Pelodiscus sinensis: one gene and its partners. The protein of the gene in region 3 interacts with the protein of the main gene of each other region in a biochemical or structural test. Links are inferred from orthologs where the notes say so. Each region holds a gene or a part of one and is shown on either strand. Other genes may lie near its edges.

The links. The genes of interacting proteins can lie anywhere in the genome.
Region 1: of the proteins of PRKN (region 3) and MTOR, one has a biochemical effect on the other in vitro, tested with the Homo sapiens proteins (2 studies listed by BioGRID). The link is inferred for Pelodiscus sinensis from reciprocal best matches to the Homo sapiens genes PRKN and MTOR.
Region 2: of the proteins of PRKN (region 3) and MFN1, one has a biochemical effect on the other in vitro, tested with the Homo sapiens proteins (3 studies listed by BioGRID). The link is inferred for Pelodiscus sinensis from reciprocal best matches to the Homo sapiens genes PRKN and MFN1.

Annotation. Positions count from the first base shown.
Region 1 is NC_134733.1:11,465,647-11,473,639, forward strand, and holds the start of MTOR (serine/threonine-protein kinase mTOR), read left to right. Parts: upstream 1-4,977; 5' UTR 4,978-5,129; intron 5,130-6,786; 5' UTR 6,787-6,828; coding exon 6,829-6,948; intron 6,949-7,426; coding exon 7,427-7,535; intron 7,536-7,993. Other genes in the region: UBIAD1 (ubiA prenyltransferase domain-containing protein 1), read right to left, coding at 1,571-2,058, 2,797-3,319. UniProt on the Homo sapiens protein: Serine/threonine protein kinase which is a central regulator of cellular metabolism, growth and survival in response to hormones, growth factors, nutrients, energy and stress signals.
Region 2 is NC_134720.1:44,552,907-44,560,130, forward strand, and holds the start of MFN1 (mitofusin-1), read left to right. Parts: upstream 1-4,208; 5' UTR 4,209-4,323; exon of another isoform or gene 4,324-4,358; intron 4,359-4,744; exon of another isoform or gene 4,745-5,362; intron 5,363-5,661; 5' UTR 5,662-5,668; coding exon 5,669-5,783; intron 5,784-7,224. UniProt on the Homo sapiens protein: Mitochondrial outer membrane GTPase that mediates mitochondrial clustering and fusion. Membrane clustering requires GTPase activity. It may involve a major rearrangement of the coiled coil domains.
Region 3 is NC_134713.1:115,480,168-115,487,339, forward strand, and holds the start of PRKN (E3 ubiquitin-protein ligase parkin), read right to left. Parts: upstream 3,004-7,172; 5' UTR 2,878-3,003; coding exon 2,871-2,877; intron 1-2,870. Other genes in the region: PACRG (parkin coregulated gene protein), read left to right, coding at 3,448-3,594. UniProt on the Homo sapiens protein: Functions within a multiprotein E3 ubiquitin ligase complex, catalyzing the covalent attachment of ubiquitin moieties onto substrate proteins. Substrates include SYT11 and VDAC1.

The sequences.
Region 1 (7,993 bases), on a different chromosome or scaffold from region 3:
AACAAATAATATTTCCCAATGAAGAACAGGGTTCAGTGACCATGGGAAAATGTGAGAGTCAAATACACTCTGTTGTGCCTTAATAAAATCAATAGAGTGTCTCCAAGCTGTACTTGGCACTGTGTGTTTCATATCATTATATGTTGTGTAAAATAACATTCATGCACAGGGCTACATTAGTACCGTTACAGGACAACAGGGGTGGAAGTGGCACAATATGCAAGTAGAATATCTAGAAAGACACAATCCTACAGAGTGATCTAGAACTTCAAAACTGACCAGTGAATCACAGGAGCATCATCAAAACATTGCTCCCCCCCACACTGGAAAAGAGAAGAAGAATCTATCAGCAAGAATAATGTACTCTCCTGATTTCTGTACAAAGTCACTGCAGAAATTTAGACTCCTTCCTGCAATGCCCCCATCATTCTCCCTTGCTGCCTCCAGCTTGCCTTACAATAGGATGACAAGCAACTTTAAGTAGATGACAGATATGGAGAATGACAAAAAACACTTTGCTACTAGAGACTTGCAACTACAACATGTGTCTGTTAGTCAATATCCAACTGTCTACAGAGCTTTGTTACCCTGCCTGACAGTTTTGGGGGGGGGGTTAAACACCAAGACTTTTTCATCTTAGGCAGAAGGGTCTGAGCACGAGACTAACATAACATCAAGAAGAGAACTTTTCATCTCACCAAGTGTTTATAAGCTTCTTAGCTGCATAACTTGCACTTCTGACCCCTAGCTACTTAAAGAGGGAGTGGAAGTTCACTTTTGGCTTTAAGCTCAGTGCAATGGAGCAGTTATATTCCATTTCAGCACCTATATACCACAGCAATGGATACTTTAGAAATGCCTAGGTAGAAAGGCACTGGCAGATCTGGCAGTGGGAGCATGAGAAACTGCTGTCTTCCATAAATCAGCAGTTCTGGATGGATACACATGCCCTATTTCACATTGCTATGAGACTAGGAAATACAAGATCAAGATTAAGCAGAAATTGGGGGGGGGGGAGAAAACAGTCCGGGTGGTGGAGATGAAGATTTATAATGAAGGGAGTGAAGTAACAGCATCTGCTTTATTGCAATGCTGACCAAGTTAAAGCTTTGAGTGGCAATTTGCATGTGGCACAGTGTAGAAGTGGAGCTACTGAATCTTTGCTTCATGTTGGGAGGGGATGACTCACAGATCAAGGTTCAATGTGCCTGGGAGGGGAAGGAAGAGTTCAAACTTGAAGCTCAGCCCTGCTCTCATTGAAGTTAAGTTCCTTTGAATTCAATGACAGCAGCAGCAAGTCCTTGAAACATCTGTCTGCTCTCAGGGTGAACTGCAATAAGCACCAAGAGAAAACAAGACCCATGTTGTCAATTCAACTCTTCTCCAAGACACCATTAGAAGTCTCTAGTACGAGAGAAACCGTTTATCTCAACAAGACCAAAGCCCACAATATTCACATGGGGTCACTGCCTTGAGCTAGCCTTCTTGCTCTGGCCACCATCCACAACAAACCTCCGACTTCCAACCGAGATCTGCCATTAACACTGAAGCCACGAGGCAGCGCTAGCTGTTACAGTTTGGGCAGTGTGCCTGGTGGTGCCAGCAGAATACCAAAAACATAGAAGAGCCCCAGCAGGAGATTGAGCTTGGCTGTCCGCTGGGGAAGTTTGCTGAAACTCTGGCTCCGGAACTGCCTCTCCAGCGAAAAGGCCATAGGAATGGTAAGTAGTGGTAGTGCCATGCTGATGGTATAGCGTGTGGCCAAGACGCAAAAAATCAGGTAGGGCAGGAAGAGTAGTGTGTTGTAGAGCATGTAGGAGAACATGGGGCCAATGAGGATAGCCAGGGTGACAATGCCTGCTTGCTGGTCAGATTCCATGTCCCGAGTGTTGTTGCTGTGCAGGATGGCCTCCGTGCTGAGGGCTAGTGGGATAGCATAGAGCAGCGGTGAGACAGACAGATAGCCAACCTGCACGGCATGGGCAAACATAACAGCCAGGGGTCCAAACGTGATGAGGATCACCAAGTCGCCAAGTGCAACATATTTAAATCCAATTCCTGTGGCAATAAACAAGATGAAAACAAGTGTCAAGTGTTACCAAGTAAAATTTACTTTACAGAGAACAACAGATGTTTCTTAAACAGATCAGCTCCTAAAAATTGCTGTAAAAGCCAATACACAGCTAGGGCAGGGCTACACACGTTCTTTTATTGCCCCAGAATTGATTATCCTTTACCCTTTCCAAAGATAATAAAGCAAATACAATTTTTGCAATTTCCAGTCTCAACCAGTGAGCAAAGATTAAGGGGCAGATTCCAGTTATCCATCTGGAATACCTTATTCCACAAGCAGTCCTACTGAAGTCAAAGGGATTACACATGAAGTACAGTGCTACCCAATGTGAATACAGATAGAATCTGTCCATGAGCTGATGCAACAATGAGAGTAGAGTAACAGCTGCTACATCTTCCAAATGATAGTTTGTGAATCCTAGAAACTAATCTTACTTATAGCAAAACACAGGGTATGTCTCTTCATCTACCAGATAGCTTAACTGATGAGGCAAAATCAACTTTTTTTATCTTGAAATGTCCCTTAAAAATATCTTAAGTTTACTTTTCATTTGAAATTAGATCTGGCCAATAACAAATAACAAACCCTACTGATAGTACACATTGGGCTCCCTCCATGGAGAAGAGAGCATAAATAATTAATCAAACCAGCTGACATACACCAGATATACATTTCACACACAATTTCTGCAGAGACTTAAGAGTATGGAGTACAACCCTTACCTCCAGTATAAAGGAAAGAGCTGGAAAGTCCACCAAAGTAAATCAGGGCCAGGTGCTCCAGCTTGAGAGTAGAGAGACAGTAGAGGCAGGCAGCACAGACACAGCCCAGAGTATAGAGGAAGACCCCAAATCGAACCACATCCTGAGGCTCCAAGATCTGGTCCACCAATGTCCGGTCATCACTCTTCTTGTGGTCAATACCCTTTGAGAAGTCATAGTAGGTATTAACCAAGTTGCCTGCTCCATGCACAGCCAGGACAGCCACTGCACTGCCCACTAGCAGCCCTGGGTCTAGGGATCCTTGGGACCGATAGGCTAGGGCACTGCCCAGAGCTACAGGAGTCAGAGAGGCACTGAAGCTCCAGGGCCGCAGGGCCAGGACATAGGCTGCACATTTCTGCCTCCAGGTGCCTGGATGGCTCTTCTCAGAGCTTAGCAGCCCTACACCCAGCTCCCCCAGGTCAACACTTCTAGGGCTCTCAGCACTGATGCTAATCTTCTCTGTCTGATCCTCAGACTCCATGCTCTTCACGCAGCTGCTTCAAGAGAAGGTGCTGGACAGAGACCTGGGAAAGCCAGGAGAGTTTGCATTAGTAACTGTAGCCTAAAAAGGAAACCGGCTTCTCCGGTGGCTCAACGGTGGCACACAACCCGGGGGGGAGCTGCCAGGCCGTGGGGGAGTCCGCCCGCAATGTGAACCTCTGCCCACAGCAGCACAGAGAGCGAGTGGCAGGGCCCATCCCATGCTGGGCACCACAAGGGAGAAGCCGGGTCCTCCCGTGGCTTTCACCTCCACGTGCGGCGCCTCGGCCCCCGCAGCCCATTTCCCCGACCTCCGTGTCCCCTGCGGGAGGAAGAAAAGGCCCCAGGGGCAGGGGCGCAGCCCGGGTGAGGCGCCGGGGAGGCAGCTCCGAACCCGGGGCGGGGCTGAGCTTGCTTCCCCGACTTACGGGGCTTAGGGTGGCTCCAGGGCCCCCTCGCCTGTTGCAGAGCCAGGTCCCCGACAGGCCTCTCCGCTCACGAGCAGGCCGGGCACTCGGGACCACGGCAACCACCCGGAGGTGCTACGTGTGCACCAGCCAGGCCGGCCCCTCCAGAAACAAGGGCACCGCTTACCGAGGTTCCGCTTGCTCTGAGGGCAACTCAGGGCCTGAGGAGGGGGAAGGATGGGGGAAGAGCCCCACCCACACTGTTAGTAACTCAATGGGGGGGGTGCCTTCTCGCAGGGGCGAGGTGGCATAGTTAGGTGAAACCCCTTCCTTGGCGTCACTCAGCCAGTCCCTAGCAGAGCTGAGGGTTGACCCTTGCAACCCCATTTCCATTCTTTAGCTAGAGACTATAGAGACTTCCCTATGCCCAGCGCTGCACACTGGTGCTTGTGATGCTGCATGCACACACAGGCCCATGCAGGCGGAACAGTCTACCTGGGCCATTGTTTGCAAGATCAGAGCCTTAACCTCTCCAAGCCTCAATTTTCCCAATCTGCAAAACCCGGGATAACAATCCAGAGAGAGTAATATGCGGGAAATACTCAAATAAACTGGTAATAAGTGATAGAGGAAAAGCGTAGGACGTTAATACCTGCCACATTTATTAAGTTATTAACCATTATTATGAACTATTACGGAGCATCCACATCTGTTCATGGGTAACAATAACAAGCCTGTTTATTTGAACACTTCCCCATTAACATTAGCAGTAGATCATGGCTATTAAACGCTCTGTGCGGATTATCATTGTACCTATTCGCTATTCTACGTGTCACAAACGCGGCTGGCTTCTACACGCGTCATTACGGGAACAGAGCGCTCTTCGGGGGGGACTCATTTCATGGCTGCACCCAGAACAGTAGAGACGCTGACAGCGGGGGATAAAAGGGTTCACGCGGCGGAAGACTCCTACAGTCTCCACGCTTAGAAAAAGGGCCGATGCGGCGCCTTTTCCGCTTGCGCACAAACCTGTATCGCTTCAGAAAGGGCGGAAGCAAGGCGGCTTTCCAAAGACGGGGGCAAACTCTGAATTCTAACCAATTACGCGGCCTCTCGCTGACCATTGGTGAATCTAAATGTCAGTCTATCACTCTCTGCCCTTTGATTGGCCAGAAGTAACTCCACCCGCCTCCAGCGGGTTTTTTTTTTGGAAGGGGTGGAACCACGAGCCGCCTAGTAAACCCTCCTGCCCCGCAAAACTATTGGCTGGGCCACCTGCTAGTTACAGTCCCCTCAACGCCGATTGGCTGGCGGTTTTTCGCCGGGCCGGCGGCAGCAGTGGGGGGGAGGGGAAACCCGGGGCCCAAGCTGGGGAGCCGGTCGCGGCTGGGCCGGGTGGAGGCGGTGAGTGAGGGGGGCCCCGATCCGGAGCTGGGAAGTCATCCCCCTCCCCCCAACGCCGGACTGCGGGGGCTGCCTCCCCTCCCCCACCGCCCGGCCGGCTGGCGCAGGCGTCCAGCAGCCGGAGCCCTGTCAGCGGGGCCGGGGCGCTGCCCTGGGGGCTGCTGGCAGGGGCCCGCCCCGCAGCACGGGAGATGCCCGGAGCTGGTAGCCCCCCCCCCCCCCCGGGGCCTCCCCGCTCTGCTGCCGCCGGGGCTGGGACCGTGGCCTTGGAGCTGCGCCGGCTTCCCCCTCGCCCCTCGGGGAGCGGCCGGGTCTGAGCCCCCCGCTCATGCGGGCAAGGCCGCTGCCCTTGGCTCTGGGCCCGGATCCTAGGCCTGGTTGGCCCTCGCTAGGCAGGCTGCGTCCACCCCTCGTGCATTTCTCTCTCCGGAGAAGAGGGCGCCTCTCTGGGCTGCTCCTCCAGCCTGGGTCCGAGCACGGGAGCCGGCCCTGGCCTGGGGGGATGCTGGTAGCTGGAAAGATTCCACACTAGACTCAGAGGCATCTGCTGTACCCGAGGATTTTAACGACGCAGGGTTGTCCAGTAGCTAGTGAGGAATAGGGACCCAGGGCTCCTTAAGGGTCTGACCCTAGTTCTGCTACTCATTTGCTGTTTGCCCAGTAGTAAAGTCTGTGACCGGTTTCCCCCTTTCTTAAAAAGTGTATTTTTAACCTTTGCAAAAAAAAAAAATGCACCTATCACCATGGTTTCCAGACATGCACAATATTAAACATCCCATTAAAGCAGTGATGGGCGATCTATTTAGCGAGCGGGCTGCATGAATCTCCAGCCTGCATCTTAGCGGGCTGCAGAATTAACATAACCACGGTGGTCTCCCAGGTTAAGGTAGTTTTGCTAACTCTGCTTGCATGCCTAGAACTTTCAGGGTGAGCCAATTGAACCGTAGCAGTGCTTTGATTGGATGCAACAGGAACACTCGGCTCTTGCAGTCAATGTTGTATGCAAACAGCATGTACCTCACTTCATGTTGCCCACCACTGCATTACAATGATGGTTGCTGGCATGAACAGATTCTCGGCCTATAAATATACATTGGGGTTTGACTGTGTTTGTAAAGAATTTTCTGTTCTTGGATGAAAGGCAACATAGAGGAGCAAATTAGAGTAACAATAATATTGACATGCATGCCAAGCGGTCCTTATCCTCCTTGTAACTTTGCATGACTGGGAACACCTCGGAAGCACAGCCCAGTGTGTATATTTGGGCGTGGATTTGATTTGAGCATGTCACATGTGAGCATGAATGGTTTGGGATGAGACTGGGGGAGTAAGGGAGGTTAAGCTCCGACCTGCTTCTGTAGGATGCACTGAAGGACTTAGCAACCTAGTGAAGGACTTAGTGGCCAGGGTACAGACTCTTAGATTCCACAGATCTTGGTGAGACTTAAGTGAACTCTGGAGCCCTACCAAGGTCTGTGAAATGTGAGAGCCTGTACCTCTGTCATGGATCTCATGGAATCTTTGTAGTTACTGTGGCATCTGAGAGCCCACTGTGTCTCATGGCATGTGTATTTGGGAGCAGTAATTTGGAGCAGTGTGGTGGAGGGAGCTATAATTGGCTTCTGCAAAAGCAAAAAATAGGTTTTCTGTATAAAAGGTCCACCGGACTTGATGCCCCAAGCCCTGACTCATCACCACCATGTCGGGCACCGTGTCCATCCTTCAGCACTTTGCCAGCGGCCTGAAGAGCCGCAATGAAGAAATCAGGGCAAAAGCCGCCAAGGACTTGCAGCATTATGTCACCATGGAGCTCCGTGAGGTAAGTGCTGTAGATGTGGAAGCAGCAGCATTTAGCTGGGGAGATATGTTTGTATTATGTGGCTGGGGAATGAGAGGTGTCACCAGTAGGGATGTAAGTGACTAGTTAAGTGCTGTAGATGTGGAAACAGCAGCATTTAGCTGAGGAGATATGTTTGTATTATTTGGCTGGGGAATGAGAGGTGTCACTAGTAGGGATGTAAGTGACTATTTAAGTGACTACTTGACTATTCGCTATCCACACCCACCCCCACACCCCAGCCCCGCTGTCTCTGGGGGTAGATCCCAGAGCTGGTGCAAGCTGGGACTGAGCAGTCCCGGCTCGGGCCGGCTGTGGGACCTGTACAGCTCTGTATTTTAAATGTAGTAAGAGCTGCCTTTGAATTTGGGAGCCTGGAAAGTGTTGTTGCCCTTCTTCATCTGGGGCACAGGTAGTGGAAAAGGGATTATAAATCGGTCTGAATTCCTTTCCTGTGCAGATGAGCCAAGAGGAATCCACTCGTTTCTACGATCAGTTGAATCACCACATATTTGAACTGGTCTCTAGTTCTGATGCGAATGAAAGGAAAGGAGGCATTCTGGCTATAGGTGAGTAAAGGAATTCATCAGCATCTTTGGTGAACTTCCTCTTCAAGTTCTATAGAGGCAGGTTGTCAAAAGAACTCTGCACCTACAAGAGGCACTCTGTATGCTGAAGAGAGCTCAGTGCAATGAGGGTGTATGGGATGCAGAACTCTTAAAACTCTGAGGCTGCTCAAGAGGGCTTATACCTGAGCAGGAGCGTCGGAGTATTTGCGCAATAACCACTGATTTTGTACATTACAAAGTCAGTGTTCTTGCACAAATAGTCGTGGCCAGTGTAGACAGGCGGCAAGATTTTGCGCAAAATTGGCCACTTTTGCTCAAAATCATGCCAGTCTAGACGCAGCTTGACTGTAAATGTCACATTGGGAGCTGTTGGTTGCTGAGCACTTCTGAAAATCTGGCCCTATGCTCTTTATAGTGTCCAGTGTTGTTGGTGGTCATAATAGGCCAGTCCCTGGACT
Region 2 (7,224 bases), on a different chromosome or scaffold from region 3:
TAATTTGTCAAGTCATTTTCCTTTTTACTTTCTATTTAAAAAGTTACTTGTATTACCGTAGTTCCTAAGAACCCGTGTCATGGACCAGTACCCCATGTCACTGTAAAAAACAGAACAAAAAGATGGTTCATGACCCCAAAGTGTTCACAATCTGAGTATTAATTGAGAGACAAGAAGTGGATACAGACAATCAGACTGGGGAGTACAAAAACTCAGAGACAATATTATATATGATATGATAGGCAGGGCCCTATCAAATTCATGGCTGTGAAAAACATCACGGACTGTAAAATTACTCAAAAGACAGATTTCAATCTATACTATATAGATTTAATTGGGGAAGTCAGGCTATGTCTACACTGGCAGGTTATTGCGCAATAATGGCCGTTCTTCCGGAAAGAGTCCACATTGCCCGCCTGCTCTCACGCAAGAAGATTTACAGTACAGGGTGGTAAGAGAAGGCTTCTTGCAGAAGAGCTGTGCTCTTTAACAGGTGTAAGCCCTCTTGCGCAGGAGCTCTTGCAAGAGGGCAGTGTGGACGTTCAGCAGCGATTTCTTGCGCAAGAAAGCCCTATGGCTTAAATGGCCATCAGAGCTTTCTTGCGCAAAAGAGCGTCCACACTGCCATGGGCACTCTTGCGCAAAAGCACAGCTTGCACATGGCAGTGTGGACATTTTCTTGCGCAAGAGTTCTTGCACAAGAACCCTTGTGCAAGATGCCACCAGTGTAGACAGCCTCAGTGTTTCTCAAACTGGGGATCCCAACCCAAAGGGAATTGTGGAGGGTCACAAGATTCTTGTAAAAGGGGCTCATGGTATCGTTACCCTTACTTTTGAACTGCCTTTGGAGTTGAGTGGTCATAGAGCAGTGGCTTCTGGCCAGACACTCAGCTCTGAAAGCAGCACCCCACAAGCAGCAGTTCAGAAGTAACTGTGGCAATACCATACTGTGATGTCGTGGGGGTGCTGGCTGCTCTGTAACCTGGTGTCCCCCCTGCGCTGTGATGTGTGATTTCCACTGACTCACCCACATGTGTATTGGCCCAGACACTTAGGACCAGCCTGGGCAGTTAGCAAAGCTCTTCCCAGGGGGAGAGACAAAGGGAGGGAAGCAGAGATGATCATCAGGTATCGGGGGAAGGGTCAGTTGCTGGCTGGAAAACATTAAGGGAACAACCTAAGCTGAGGACTGAGGGTCTGGGGGGGGGGGGGAAAGATGGACCCCCTAACTTCAGGGATCTGAGGCATGCTGGCCTTGACTCCTGTAACCACATCACATCTGTGCAATGCTGTACCCTGGAGAAGCAATAAACCCTCTCTATTCTACTGGCTGGTTGAGTCTGTTCTTGCTGCTACGGGGCTGCAGGACCAAGGGAACCTCGACTGTGCTGTCACGCATACCATGCCACCCTTACTTCTGCTCTGCTACTAGTGATGATGCTTCCTTCAGAGCTACACTCCAGGACAGTAGCCATTGCTCTCCAGCTACCCAGCTCTAAGTCCAGAGGTGTAACCAGCAGCAGTGTAGAAGTAATATAATCTCCCTATAATGACCTTGAGATCACTTCCTCAAAAAAAAAAATCTGGATTGGGGCCGCTACTGTTAAACCACTGTGCCCTTTCAGATTTAAATACCTGAAATCATGAAATTTACAAATTTTAAAATCCTACAACTGAAATTAACCAAAATAGACTGTGAATTTGATAGGACCCTAATGATAGGCAATGGTCTCAATTGACCAACAGATTTTTGAATGCTGCCTGTTGCTTTTTGTGTTATAATCAACCCTCCAGCAACATTGTTACAAACACAGTTGCTTGGATTGCATAGCAATTTAGACTCATTCAGAGAAAATGCATTTAAATACATTCAATACAAAGTTAAGCACCTAGGAACAAGGAATGCAGGCTATACCTACAGAATGGGTGACTATTTTTGTAGACAGTGAGAAAGGTTTAGGGATCATAGTGAACAAGCACCTCATCAGCTAGAGTGACAAAAAGGGCCAATATGGTCATTGCATGTAAAATCAGGGGAGCAATGAGCAGGAAGATTTTACCTCTACATATGGCACTGATATGGTTGATAGTGGATTACCAAATCCAGTTTTGGTGTCCATATTTTAAAAGAGATGTTGACAAATTGGAGAGGCACAAAATAGAAGAGAGCCTCAAAATTACTGAAAAGCTTGAAAAAATAAGTGAGATGTAGAGAGCTCAATCAGTTTAATTTATCAAAAAACAAGATTGAGGTGATTTGATTAGGGTATAAGTATCTTCAGGGGGAGAAAATAGCACATAGTGACAGGATCTTTAATCTAGCCGATGAAGGCAGCATAAGAACCAATGTCTTGAAGCTGAAGCCAGACATATAAATTACACTTGTGGAATAGTGAGGTGGTGATTAATGATGTAAACAAATTACAAAGAGAAATGGTGGATTTGCCATCTTGATATCTTCAGATCACATTCTTGAAGATATGCTTTATTCAGACAAGTTATCTTTCTCAGTATAAGGGTAACTGGGTGAAATTTAATGGCCCGTGATATACAGATGATCAGAGTAGATCATCTAATAATCTCTTTTGGCCTTAAACTCTGTGCAAATGTTAACAGCTCCCATAATTTCTGCAGATAAAATTATTTCTTCTGGGGCTGAAACCAATCTCCTGATGGCATCAGAAAGTCTAACCTTCTCCTGGAATTAATTTCTGCCTGTAGGAAGACTTCTCTGGCTGTCTTCTCCAAACCCCATTTATGTACCTCTTATAGTAGCCAAGAAGATATTTGGGAACAGAGAGGGAGCAACTGCCACCCTTCTGCTGCCTTTCTTCTCCATTCTTTGAGAGGGTACTTAGTATCTCCAGGGCTGAGCAGCTATGTTTCCTCTTTTCACCCATTCTTGGTTCCATGAGCAATGGTTCACTCTGCTCTCTCCATCTCTTCAGTGCCAGGCCTGGGAAGTGGAGAAGGCATGAAGAGCTCCCTAGAGCTGTGCACCTACTCCAAAGGCCTATGAAGGGTAAGAAAAGGATACTGCTGCAGCTGTTCTCCAGGCATTGGGGGAGGCAGGGAGAAAGAACACTAGGGCTACGTCTAGACTGGCATGATTTTCCCAAATGCTTTTAACGGAAAAGTTTTTCTGCTAAAAGCATTTGCGGAAAAGAGTGTCTACATTGGCACAATGCAGGACAATGTAGCACTTTAAAGACTAACAAGATGGTTTATTAGATGATGAGCTTTCGTGGGCCAGACCCACTTCCTCAGATCAAATAGTGGAAGAAAGTAGTCACAACCATATATACCAAAGGATACAATTAAAAAAAATGAACAAATATGAAAAGGACAAATCACATTGCAGAACAGGAGGGGGATGCGGGGGGGGGGGGGGGAGGAAGGAAGGTAAGTGTCTGTGAATTGATATTAGAGGTCGGGAGAGTGGGATGTTTGTGAGTTAATGGTATTAGAGGTGATAATTGGGGAAACTATCTTGGTAATGGGTGAGATAGTTCAAGTGTTTGTTGAGTCCTTTTTGGAAAGTGTCGAATTTTAACATGAATGACAGTTCAGAGGATTCCCTTTCAAGTGCAGATGTAAAAGGTCGTTGTAGCAGAATTCTGCACAGACGCTTTTCTGCAAAAGCACTAGTGCCAATCTAGACGCGGTTTTGCGCAAGAAACCCCCGATTGCCATTTTTGCGATCGGGGCTTTTTTTGCACAAAACAATAACCCGTTGTCTACACTGGCCCTCTTGCCCAAAAGCATTCGCCCAAGAGGGCTTTTGCGTGAACGGGAGCAGCCCAGTATTTCCGCAACAACACTGACAATCTTACATGAGAGCGTCAGTGTTCTTGCGGAAATTCAAGCGGCCAGTGTAGAGAGCTGGAAAGTTTTTCCACAAAAGCAGCGGTGGTGGAGTAACTCGCCTCCATTTTAAAGAAAGACGGGAGCTCCCATCGCCTCCTGGGGCCCTTAGTAAAGATGGCGCTGAGAGCCAGATTCCGCTGTGGCGGGCTTGTTCCGTGCCCTCAGTGAAGATGGCGTCGCGCGTAAGACTTTCTCGCAGGCAGTTTTCCTTCAGTAAAGATGGCGACTCCCGGGGGGGGGGGGGGGGGGCTCATTTCCGGTCGTCTTCAGCTTGGCTGCCCTCGTTAAAGATGGCGAACCTTGCTTGCGGCGGGGGTACGCTAAGGGCAGAGGAAGCGGAAGTGATGCTGCTAGCTCCTCCTTCCCCCTCCCCCCCCGCGAACGGGGCGAAGAGGCAGGAGGTGCGGCGGCGGCGGCCCCCCCCCTCCCCCAACCGCAGCGCGCAGCAGTTGCTGGGTAACGGGGGAGCGCACGAGGCGGGGGCGCTGCAGGTGATAGGGACGCGGGGCAGAGAGAGGCTGTGGGCGGCTCTGGCGAACTGCCAGGGAGGTCACGGGGGCTGCGCCGTAGGACCCCCCCCCCACCAGTCATTTTCCTGTGGGGGGGGGGCGCTAGGGACCCCTTCCATCTCCCACCCCTTTCTGCGGTCCCGGTGTTGCGGGCGGCTGCGTCCGTGGCTCCCTGCCCCGGGCTCGTAGCCTGGTGTAACACCCCCAGCTGAGGGAGGGTGGCGGCTCCTGAAGCGACCCTCTTTCGAGGCCGGTGGCATGATGGGCTACTGTGAGCAGCAAGCAGATTGTTCGTGGCCCGGGGGGGGGTGGCGTGTCCCGCCGCGCCCCCCCCCCCCTCCCCTGGCACATGGGAGAAGCTAGTCACTTACCTTGCTGTGCTAGTCACTTTCATCGTGTGGCAATCCTGCCCTTTGCACAGAGCGGCAAACCCCGCCGAGAAAAGTTTAACTCTACACCTCGTTAATAACGAAGCAGGAGACTCTTGAGTTTGCAGCTTTGTCAAACCTTTCTCCTTTATATTTTTAAGTCCTAGAACTTTATTTTTTTAGTGGCCCATTAGAGAGACAAGGTGAACTGGCCTGTGAATAAATTGGCCAATGAATAAATTTAATTTATTGAGCATAGGGGAAAAAGGACCTGGGGAAATGCCTTGAAAATGTGGTCTGATTTTTTTTCATCTCTTTCTTGTTGGAAAAAAGGATATAAAATGTTCTGGTATACATGCGTCTAGGAGGCTAGATGACTTGGATTGGTGATGTAATTAGTCTTTCATTTATTGGGCTGTAGCTACAAGGCCTCAGAACAAAGTTAAGATGCTGTATTTAAATGCAGTTCCAGTTAAACTTGTTTCTACATAACCTGGTCTGTGAGGTGGAACCAAACTAAGGTGTTTAAAAAAGTGTTTCCGCTAACATCCTGAAATGATTATTTGCTGGGCTGACTTAATATTCTGTATCAAACCAAATCTAATAACTTGCTTTCTGGTATGTATGCATATGAGTTTTTATGTAAACAGATAAAGTAATTCATCTATGTATTTTATCTAGGACAGGAGAGAAAATATATTAGAAATTACAATTTTATCCCTTTGTAATTTGACATTTCTGTTGCTGCTAGATTAGAAAATTTAAAAAACAGTAACACTAATTTCAACTAACATTCAACTTGGTGTATCCATTTTTAAAATTTATGTTTTACTTGCTTCATTAAGGGAAGTTGATGTGTTGTGTTCTACTTATTTCTAGTAAGTGTTTCAGTCATTTGGATGTAATTTCTCTTTCAGTTGCATAATGGCAGAAACTATGGCCTCCCCCCTGAAACACTTTGTGCTGGCTAAAAAGACAATTACTGCTATATTTAACCAACTGCTGGACTATGTCACTGAAGGAGCAAGTTTTGTTGAAGGTTAGTTTTCACTTTTGGGGCAGGGACCTTGCATCTTTGTGTGTAAAAATTAGCATAACAGGTTTCTGGTCCTTATGGGGTCTCTGGGTACAATGATAACATATGCATTCTTCAATAAGAGTCTTGGGGTATATACAGATATTTTAAGGGGTGGTAGTATGGTGCAGTGAGTTGGGAAATCTAGAGTTTATTCTCTTCTTAGCTTGATTTAATGTATAACCTTAGGAAAGTCACTTAAACCTACACTTTCAAACTTGGATACCTAAAGACAGGCACTTTAATAAAAGTGGATTTTCAGAAGTGCTAAGCAGCTGCAGCTTTGATTTAATTAAACTACTTGTGCTAGGCAACATTGAGAGTATGTCATAACTGCAGAGTTAATGTGTGTTCTTACTCAAGTGTTGCCTCTAACCATCTGCCACTCCCCACACACAAGCTTCTGAGCAGAGTTATGTGATGCCTTCAGTTCAAGTTCAATGGCTCTTCTGGGACCTTAGGCGAAAGCCAGAGTCTTTCACCGGGGTTGGTATCCAGTGAGTGGCCAGTGAGGATACAGTGTAAACTACTTGAATGCTGATAGACTTCCGGTGTTCTAACAGTTTATTCCTTGTGACCAGAAAAAGAAACCACTTCTCCAACAATTCACTAGGAAAGAATCATTTGACAACTCAACCTGCTACAGCACAAAGAACTATTGCAGTGGCTCCCAACCTTTTTGAGCATATGGACCTCTTTTCAGTCTATTAAAATGTCATTGACTCCCCTCCCTGGGGGAGAAAAAAGAAAATAAAAAGTATCCTTCTTTTTAAACTTTCCATGGACCCTTTGCAGTACTGTTGCGGACCACAGGTTGGGAACCACTGAACCATTGGATATACCTTCCTAAAACTACTAGCAACACATAAGCATGCATGTAACACCAGTGTGGGCATAGTAACTCAAATGCGGCTATGGGAGTTTGGAATGGCTGCCATAAGAGGAGAGATTAATAAAACTGGGACTTTTCAGCTTAGAAAAGAGGAAACTGGGGAGAAGATCATGGAAGTCTATAAAATCATGACCAGTGTAAGGAAATTAAATAGGGAAACATTATTTACCTGCTCCCATAACACAAGAACTAGGGTTTACCAAATAAAATTAATAGGTAGCAGATCTAAAGCAAACAAATAGAATTATTTCTTCATGCAGTATATACAGTCAACCCATGGAACTCCTTGCCAGAGAATGTTGTGAAGACTAGGATTTTAACAGGGTTCAGACAAGAACTAGATACTTTTATGGAGGATAGTGACTATTAGCCAAGATGAGTAGGAATTAGGGATGAAACTTATGATTAATGTTAACCAGTGGAGGCTGGAGCAGCTCCCTGCCTGCCACAAGTAGGGGGCTGCTTCAGCCCTGCGGGGGGGCCTGCTGCTGACAGGGGCTCCTCCGGCATGGC
Region 3 (7,172 bases):
CTATATATTTACAATCTGACCCATTGGGTCACATCCATATGCCTATACAAAATATCACTGACATCAGTGGTACTCCTTATGAGTGCAGGGACCAACCAGATAGATCAAATTGCTGATCTGTAGTAATTTCTATTCAAAAGAAAATTTTCCACAAGAACACTATACTGTTAGAACATGATTCCTGTGTTTGTCAGGTTTGAAAAAACGATGTTTTACATACACACATATATATATTTAGCATCTGACAATTATTTTGAGACTTTCTTGATCAATTTATAAATGAGCCATATAAAGCTGATCAGTTTAAATTAAGATTTTCTGTCTTAATAGGTTATAGCCTATCTAAATTCGGGTCAGTAGGTATGTTGCATTAGCCACATGCAAATAAAATTGAAGACTGGTGCAGATTTAATCCTAACAGGAAGATTAGGGTTCAGTTCGTGCTCTATAATTCTTCATGCCACACAATCAGAAGCATATGACACTCAAGCCTTTCATTCCTTCAAAACTTTAAGTCACATATGCCTTTTAAAACTGTCTTATATTGACTTGCTAAAAAATTAAAGAAAATTTTAAAAAGAACACTAACTGCAGCTCTGTAAGCAAGTACTCTGATCTGAACTCTGTACAATTCATCAAGATATATAAATATTTGAGTCAGAAAACACTTCTTTCATTAAATCAAGTTTTCTTATAAATGCTCTCTACTGCATTAGAAAAAAAGGAACAGATATATGCAACTAGGCACAAATTGCAGTAGACACTGCATATAATATTCACATAGAATTAAAAAAATCACACCGTCATAAAGTTACACAACTTTCTTTTGCTTTTAGATGGTTTAAAGAGAACATCACACTAACATTCCAGAAACCATACATTAACAAGAAAGGAAAAATAACTTCTCGCTACAAAAATAATAGGGAATGTGCAGCAATTTCCCAAGAAATTCAGTTACAAAACTTTTAGAGGATCAATGTTTCATCAGTACATCAACTATAAAATTGAACATATTTAATTTTGATTAGATCTCAAATAGGAGACAAACACCCAATGAGAGAGGCAGAAAAAAGGTATTTAAAATCGGGGGATAGGAAGAAATCCTTCAAGCACAAACAACTTTATCTAGGACCTCAATGTTATGTTCTTCATCTGTAATTAACAAAATAAAAATTAAAGTGAAAAAGGAGGAGTATGTAAAAGGAAAAGTTTACAGTTTTTGAGACCATGTGGTAGCCTTTGTGATTTGTGGGGTCCACAATGAGGGAACAGGGATATTGGGGATTAACTACCTCTTCTTTCCAATACCAGAGGGAAATTTTGGCTAGTTGGATTACAAGGTCACGTGTTGTAATCTGCACAATACATGTTGTCAACTTTGAGGTAACTCTGGTCATTTCACCCAGTGCCCTCTTACCTCCCACCACTATCTGTGAAGCCCGAATGTAAGTTGATTCCTCAACTCCACTCCTGCTGTGTGAAGAGATAACAATGGCAGGGCAGGACTGCAAGAGACAACTACTCTCAGCCAGCATGAAGGCAATGGAAAGATCAAGATGAACCACGACTTAGCTGCCATCAAGATTTATAGAGACAAAATGGGCAAGGTAATTTATTAGTCAAATTTCTGTTGGTGAGATAGACAAGCTTATGAGCTGACACAAAGCTTCAATAAAAGATATTACCTCACCCATACTGTCTCTCCAATATCCTGGAACTTAATACAGATACAACACTGCATACAGTTAGATTTATAAGCAGACCACATGGTGAAAGAACAAAAGGGATACACTTGATTAAAAGATACAAATATTTCCTGGAAGGTCAAAAGAAAAAAAGTCATCAATATCACACTCTTTTTATGAGGACATATGCCAGTGCAAAGCTGATGTAAAACACTTTCAATCCCTTTCCATTGGGTTTCACACTTGCTTTGCATAAGTGTAGTACTCTGCAAAGGAGTGGAGAGTCCAGTCACTTATACTTTCACTTACCTGTGAAGCATATTAGGCACCAGGGGAGAAGGGGTCAACCTCCACTCTTCATCCTCTGCTCCCCCAGACTTCACCCACCACCTCCTCCAAACATGCCATATCCCTGTTCTCCTCCCTCCCCCCACCCCCACTATGAGCACCCCCACACTGCAAAAACAGCCTTCTGTGGCAGGCAGGTGTTAGGAGAGAGGGGGACAAGCTGGTCAACGGTCAATTTTTTTTCCCCTTGGGTGCACCAGTGCTAGTATGTCTTTGCCGTAAAGCACCATTATGTTGATATTGGCTAAATAAGAGATCAAGACTAGCAATATCTCGAGTCACAAACTAAGTGCATGCATATGTATTGTGCCTATAGTGCGTGTGTGCGGGGTACCCTGGCTGCATAGATGTACGTGTGCATGGTGTGAGAACCTACAGAGTGGCTGCATTATGTTGGGGAATGCATACACTACGGGGTGTTGCACGGAAGGGTGCGTACTCTACAGTGTGCGTGTTGCCATTCCTGCACGGTTGTCCTGCAATCTCTAGGAATTAAAGGGTTCATCTTTAATTAAATATTACGCCATGATGAGATACCAAAATTGGCAGCCCTGTTTGTGTGCGCGGGGGGGAAGGGAGTATTGGGGCGGGGGGTTGCACAGGGAGTGAACATGTTGCGCGCGGGGAGCGCAAGTAATTTCCTATGTCGGTAGCCGCGGGGCCAGGCCAGTGCTGGCAACAGGCGGGTGGAGCAGGTGGCCACGAGCCGGGGGGGGGGGGGGGGGGGGGGGTCCCGGGCCCAGGCTGCTGCGCCACAGGCTCGGTGGGACTGGCTCGCGAATAGATTGTGTGGGGGGCGGAGGAACCGCTGGCTGCATCCGGGTCTCACTCACTCACCTATCATGGCCACGATGGGGGGGGAGGGAGGAGGGCGCGCGCACGCCCCCGTCCCGTCCGCGCTCGCAGCTCAAATTCTCGCCTTCAGCACGGGACTGAAGACGCAAACTGCGGGGCGGGCCGGTGGGACGGGCTGGGCCGTACTGCGCATGCGGAAACTTGGCGCGTGCCCCGCTGAGCGCAGTAGCCCTCTGGGTAGTGTAGTTCTCCTGTGCGCCCGCGCTTTCTTACTGTCGCCAGGGCTGGGGTGCGTGATCGGCGCGATTTCCTTTCCCCCTCTCCCCTTCCCCTCTCGCCCCGCCCACCTTCCTCACGTGACCGCAAACAGAAACCGGGCAGGTTGTTGACACGTTGCTTAGCAACCGTGAGGCGTCCCTAGAAGCGTGTCGGTGTTAGCAACAAAGCGTGTCAGTGGCCCAGCCCCCCCGACCCTACCTAGGCGATAGCAGGGGGTGAGAAAAGGCAGCAGGGGCAGGGGGCCAGGAAGGGGCAGCCGAGCGTGAGGTTGATTTTATTTTCCAATGTATTCTTTTAGCCTGTATTGTGATTCCTGTTTTCCACAGAGGTGCCTGGGGAGATGGTGGCAGAGAAGGAGGATTCGAGCCCCCCCAAGCTGCCTGCAGAGAGACCCCAACAACAGCAGCAGCCACTAGGCCAGGCGAGGAGAGCCAAGCAGCAGGTCACCGATGGATTCACGGTTAAAGCCATGATGAAAAACACTGTGGTACGTCTGCTGCCAATAAAGAGGCTTTACATTCATTTAGTCTCATCTGCCTGTGAAGCATGTTAAGAGGCGGTGGGTGGGTGGAAGGGGGACTGTGACTGCCAGAAAGTATGTAGGGTTGGTATGATTTTGTCTGGGGTTATGCAAATAGCATTCAGGCCTTGAGGAAATGTCAGCTTGAAGTAAGGGCGGTGTCTCAGGCTATTGCCATGCCTCTTGTTAAAATGTGTCAGTTTTGTGTCACCATATTGTTATATATTGCATAATCCAATTATATATTGATTTAAAGGCCCACCTATCATGGAGTTATGTCCAAACATAATTATGCTGTACATTATTAAAATATTACCATTTCATACCATGGCACTGTGTCAAATATGGTGAAATTATGACATACATATCACATTATCTGGGGAAAGTTTCTCTTTGCAAAGGAGACAGTCCTTAAATTCTCAGCTGAAAAAATGATTATAAGCACATATTTTTAATTAAAGGAAAACCTATACAAGGTGGTAAGATAAAAGAGTTGAATGTCATTATTTAATCCTGAAAACATGAAAAATATAGCATTTAAAAAAAGTCCAACAATAATCATGAAATATCTTTCACACAGTATTAGTAAATACTGTCTTGAAAATAAACATTCTTTTTTTGTGGATAGCCTTTTAACATGAGGCGGTCAAATAGGGGTTGATCCATCAATCTTTACTTTCACTAACACTTCTGCCATGAGTAATAATTGTGATATCCCATCCTGTCTTTATAGTGAACCTTTCCGACAATAATTGTTGTAATTGATTGCTTCCATTAAATGTAATAAATAAACCCCAAAGCTTGTGGTAATGCAGAATGCAGCTGCTCAGTTACTGAGTGGAAAGTGCTGTTATGGGCACACAACATCTGTGCTCAAATCTCTGTATTGGCTTTTTGTTTGCTTTTGGGTACAATTCAAGGTGTTGGCAACAGTCTCTTGCTTTATCCCTCACTCTCTCTTTAACTGCATATATGTTCCTGATAATAGTTACAAAATGCATGAAAAGAATCCCTAGAAACTGATCTGACCTGGCTCTGGAATTCATTACATATGTCAACATTTAGAAGGAAAAGAAACGAACAGTCTATCTAAATATAATGTAATCTGTAAAATGTATTTGAGAAATAACATTTCCCCCTTTTATAGGTTCCAATTGGGCTAAAAGCCAACAATAATTAAGTGCAAAACCCATCCCAGCATTGACCTATTATCACGTAATAATAAAAACACAATGTTTATTATTTAATGTTAGCAGCCAAATCACTCACGCCCAGATGCTTAACTTTATGCAGGTGCATAATAAAATTAACTTCAATAAGATTATTCATAGAACATAATTATTTTATGCATAAAACTTTGCCTCAATCAAGCCTTAAAGACACAAAACATGAAAGGTAAGAAACAGGGACATAACATAAAGCAAGCATATGAACAGTCAACAAACTTGAACCGTAATCTGAAATTAGTGATCAGTATATAGAGAACTGTTTGTTTTGTTTCTTTGTTTATTACTGCTTTTAATTCACAAAGTCTCCAGTCAGGATTTGGGCTCCGTGGAAACACAAAGAACTATATCATCACCATTCTGAAGCGCTTAGAACTAGAATTGATGCTCTACCACAGCTGAAATATGGGAATCCTCTCTTTCAAATGGCATAGAACATTTATCTCTAACCCTGAGGTTCATGAGTCCTCGATTTAGAAGCCATCAGTATGTATTTCCTAGATCATAACATTGTGTTTTTCTAATAGCTCTCATATCTACAATATATGCTAGTGAGTGACAGGCCCTCATGTCCAAAACCTAATTCTTACATTTTCACAAAAGCAAGCTGGTCTTTGATGCTTGTTTCAAATTTGTTCTGGATTTTCACTTAAATCAGCCTCTTACTTTGATAATCTGCAATTACATTCATCCCACATACTCCGTAAAATGAACATTAGACAGTTTCTGTCCTTTTATTTGGACAGGTCATAGATCTTTTGTGAGTCCTATTTTCTCTTCTTGATTTCTGGGAATAAGTTTAGTGGCATTTCCATCCTTCAAATTGTTGGATAATTATTGGCTGCAAATGCACAGACATGAGTTCATGAGACAATTTTCTCTATTTATACCTCTGCTGGAGTGTTACATAAAGTTCTGACTGTCTTTGGTCAGATCCACAAAAAGACTTTGGTATTGCAATGCTGAATATTGCATCACCTAATGTTTTATGTGCTCAGATAATTCAGGAACACCACTGTGATCCACAAACCCTGAGGTTAGTGTAGAACAGGGCTGCATAAAATATGGCTCACGGGCCAGATTCAGCCTACTGAGCCACGGGATCTGGCCTGCGGACGCAGCAGGGAGCCCCAGGCAGGCTCCCTAATTGCCTCGCCCCACCCACACTCCACTCAGAAAAGCAGCTGTCGGGACATTTCTCTGTCACCACTGTGAGCTGTTTCTGGCCAGTGAAAGCTGCCTGTTTGAAAAACAGGCAGCACACAAAGAACTACACCTCCCTCCCCTATGGCTTGTAATTATTCTCACACACACACACACACACACACACACACACACACGGGAAGCTGCATCAGAAATGTGCTGGGCTGCTGGCCCAGAGTCACCCAAGTAAGTCTCCCAGCCAGAACCTGTTTCTGGCACCCCAGCCCCTCCCTCCCCCAACCTTGTGCCCACCACTCCTGCCTCCCCTACCCCATATAACCCGAACTGTCTGCCCCTCTCCTGCACCCATACTCCCTCCCAGAACCTGCACCACAGCCCTCTACCCCAGGTAACAAACCCCTTCTCCCCTAGGTCACATCCCAAACCCCAGCACCCCAGTCCCCTGCCTGGATCAAAACCCAAATCCTTACACCCCAGTTCACAACCTCTTCCTGTCCTATGTCACAATCCGAACCCTTCCACCACAGTCCAGTGCCCCAGATCACAACTGTTTCCTTCACCCAAGCTCCCTCCTAGATCCCACATTCTCTCCAATCCCTTACCCCAATCTCCCTTCTGCACCCAACTTCCATCCCAGACCCCGCACCTCCTCCATTAATATCATGGAAGAGTGCAGCCTTTGACCACTTTCCAGAATCTTGGAGTGGCCCCCCATCAAAAATTATTGCCCACCCCTAGTAAATAGGTTCCCTATACAATTAATGGGAAGAGGTAGGAGCCTAAGAATGTGATACACAAAAGTTAATTTGCTAGGCAGGGAACTGCCTAGCTAGCTATAGGCAGATACTAACTAAAAAGTTGTATACTAAGCCCCTTTCCTCTCATGGAGATAGACACCCTAAGTGCAGGCTGCACAAAGGCATCTAGCTTCATTTGGCCATCCACAAATGGGAGCCCATCTCCTGAAGTCAGGAAGTTTAAATGTTGACACTATTTTTTGCAGAAATAAGTGAGATGTCTGTGTAGTGCCATACAAAACAGCCAGAGAAGGTGGTGCTCGCCGTGTAACTTTTAGCCCAGTGGTTGGAGCACTCACCTGGGATGTGGAGATCCATGTTTAAGTGCCTTCACTACTAGAATGGAAGAAATAATTTG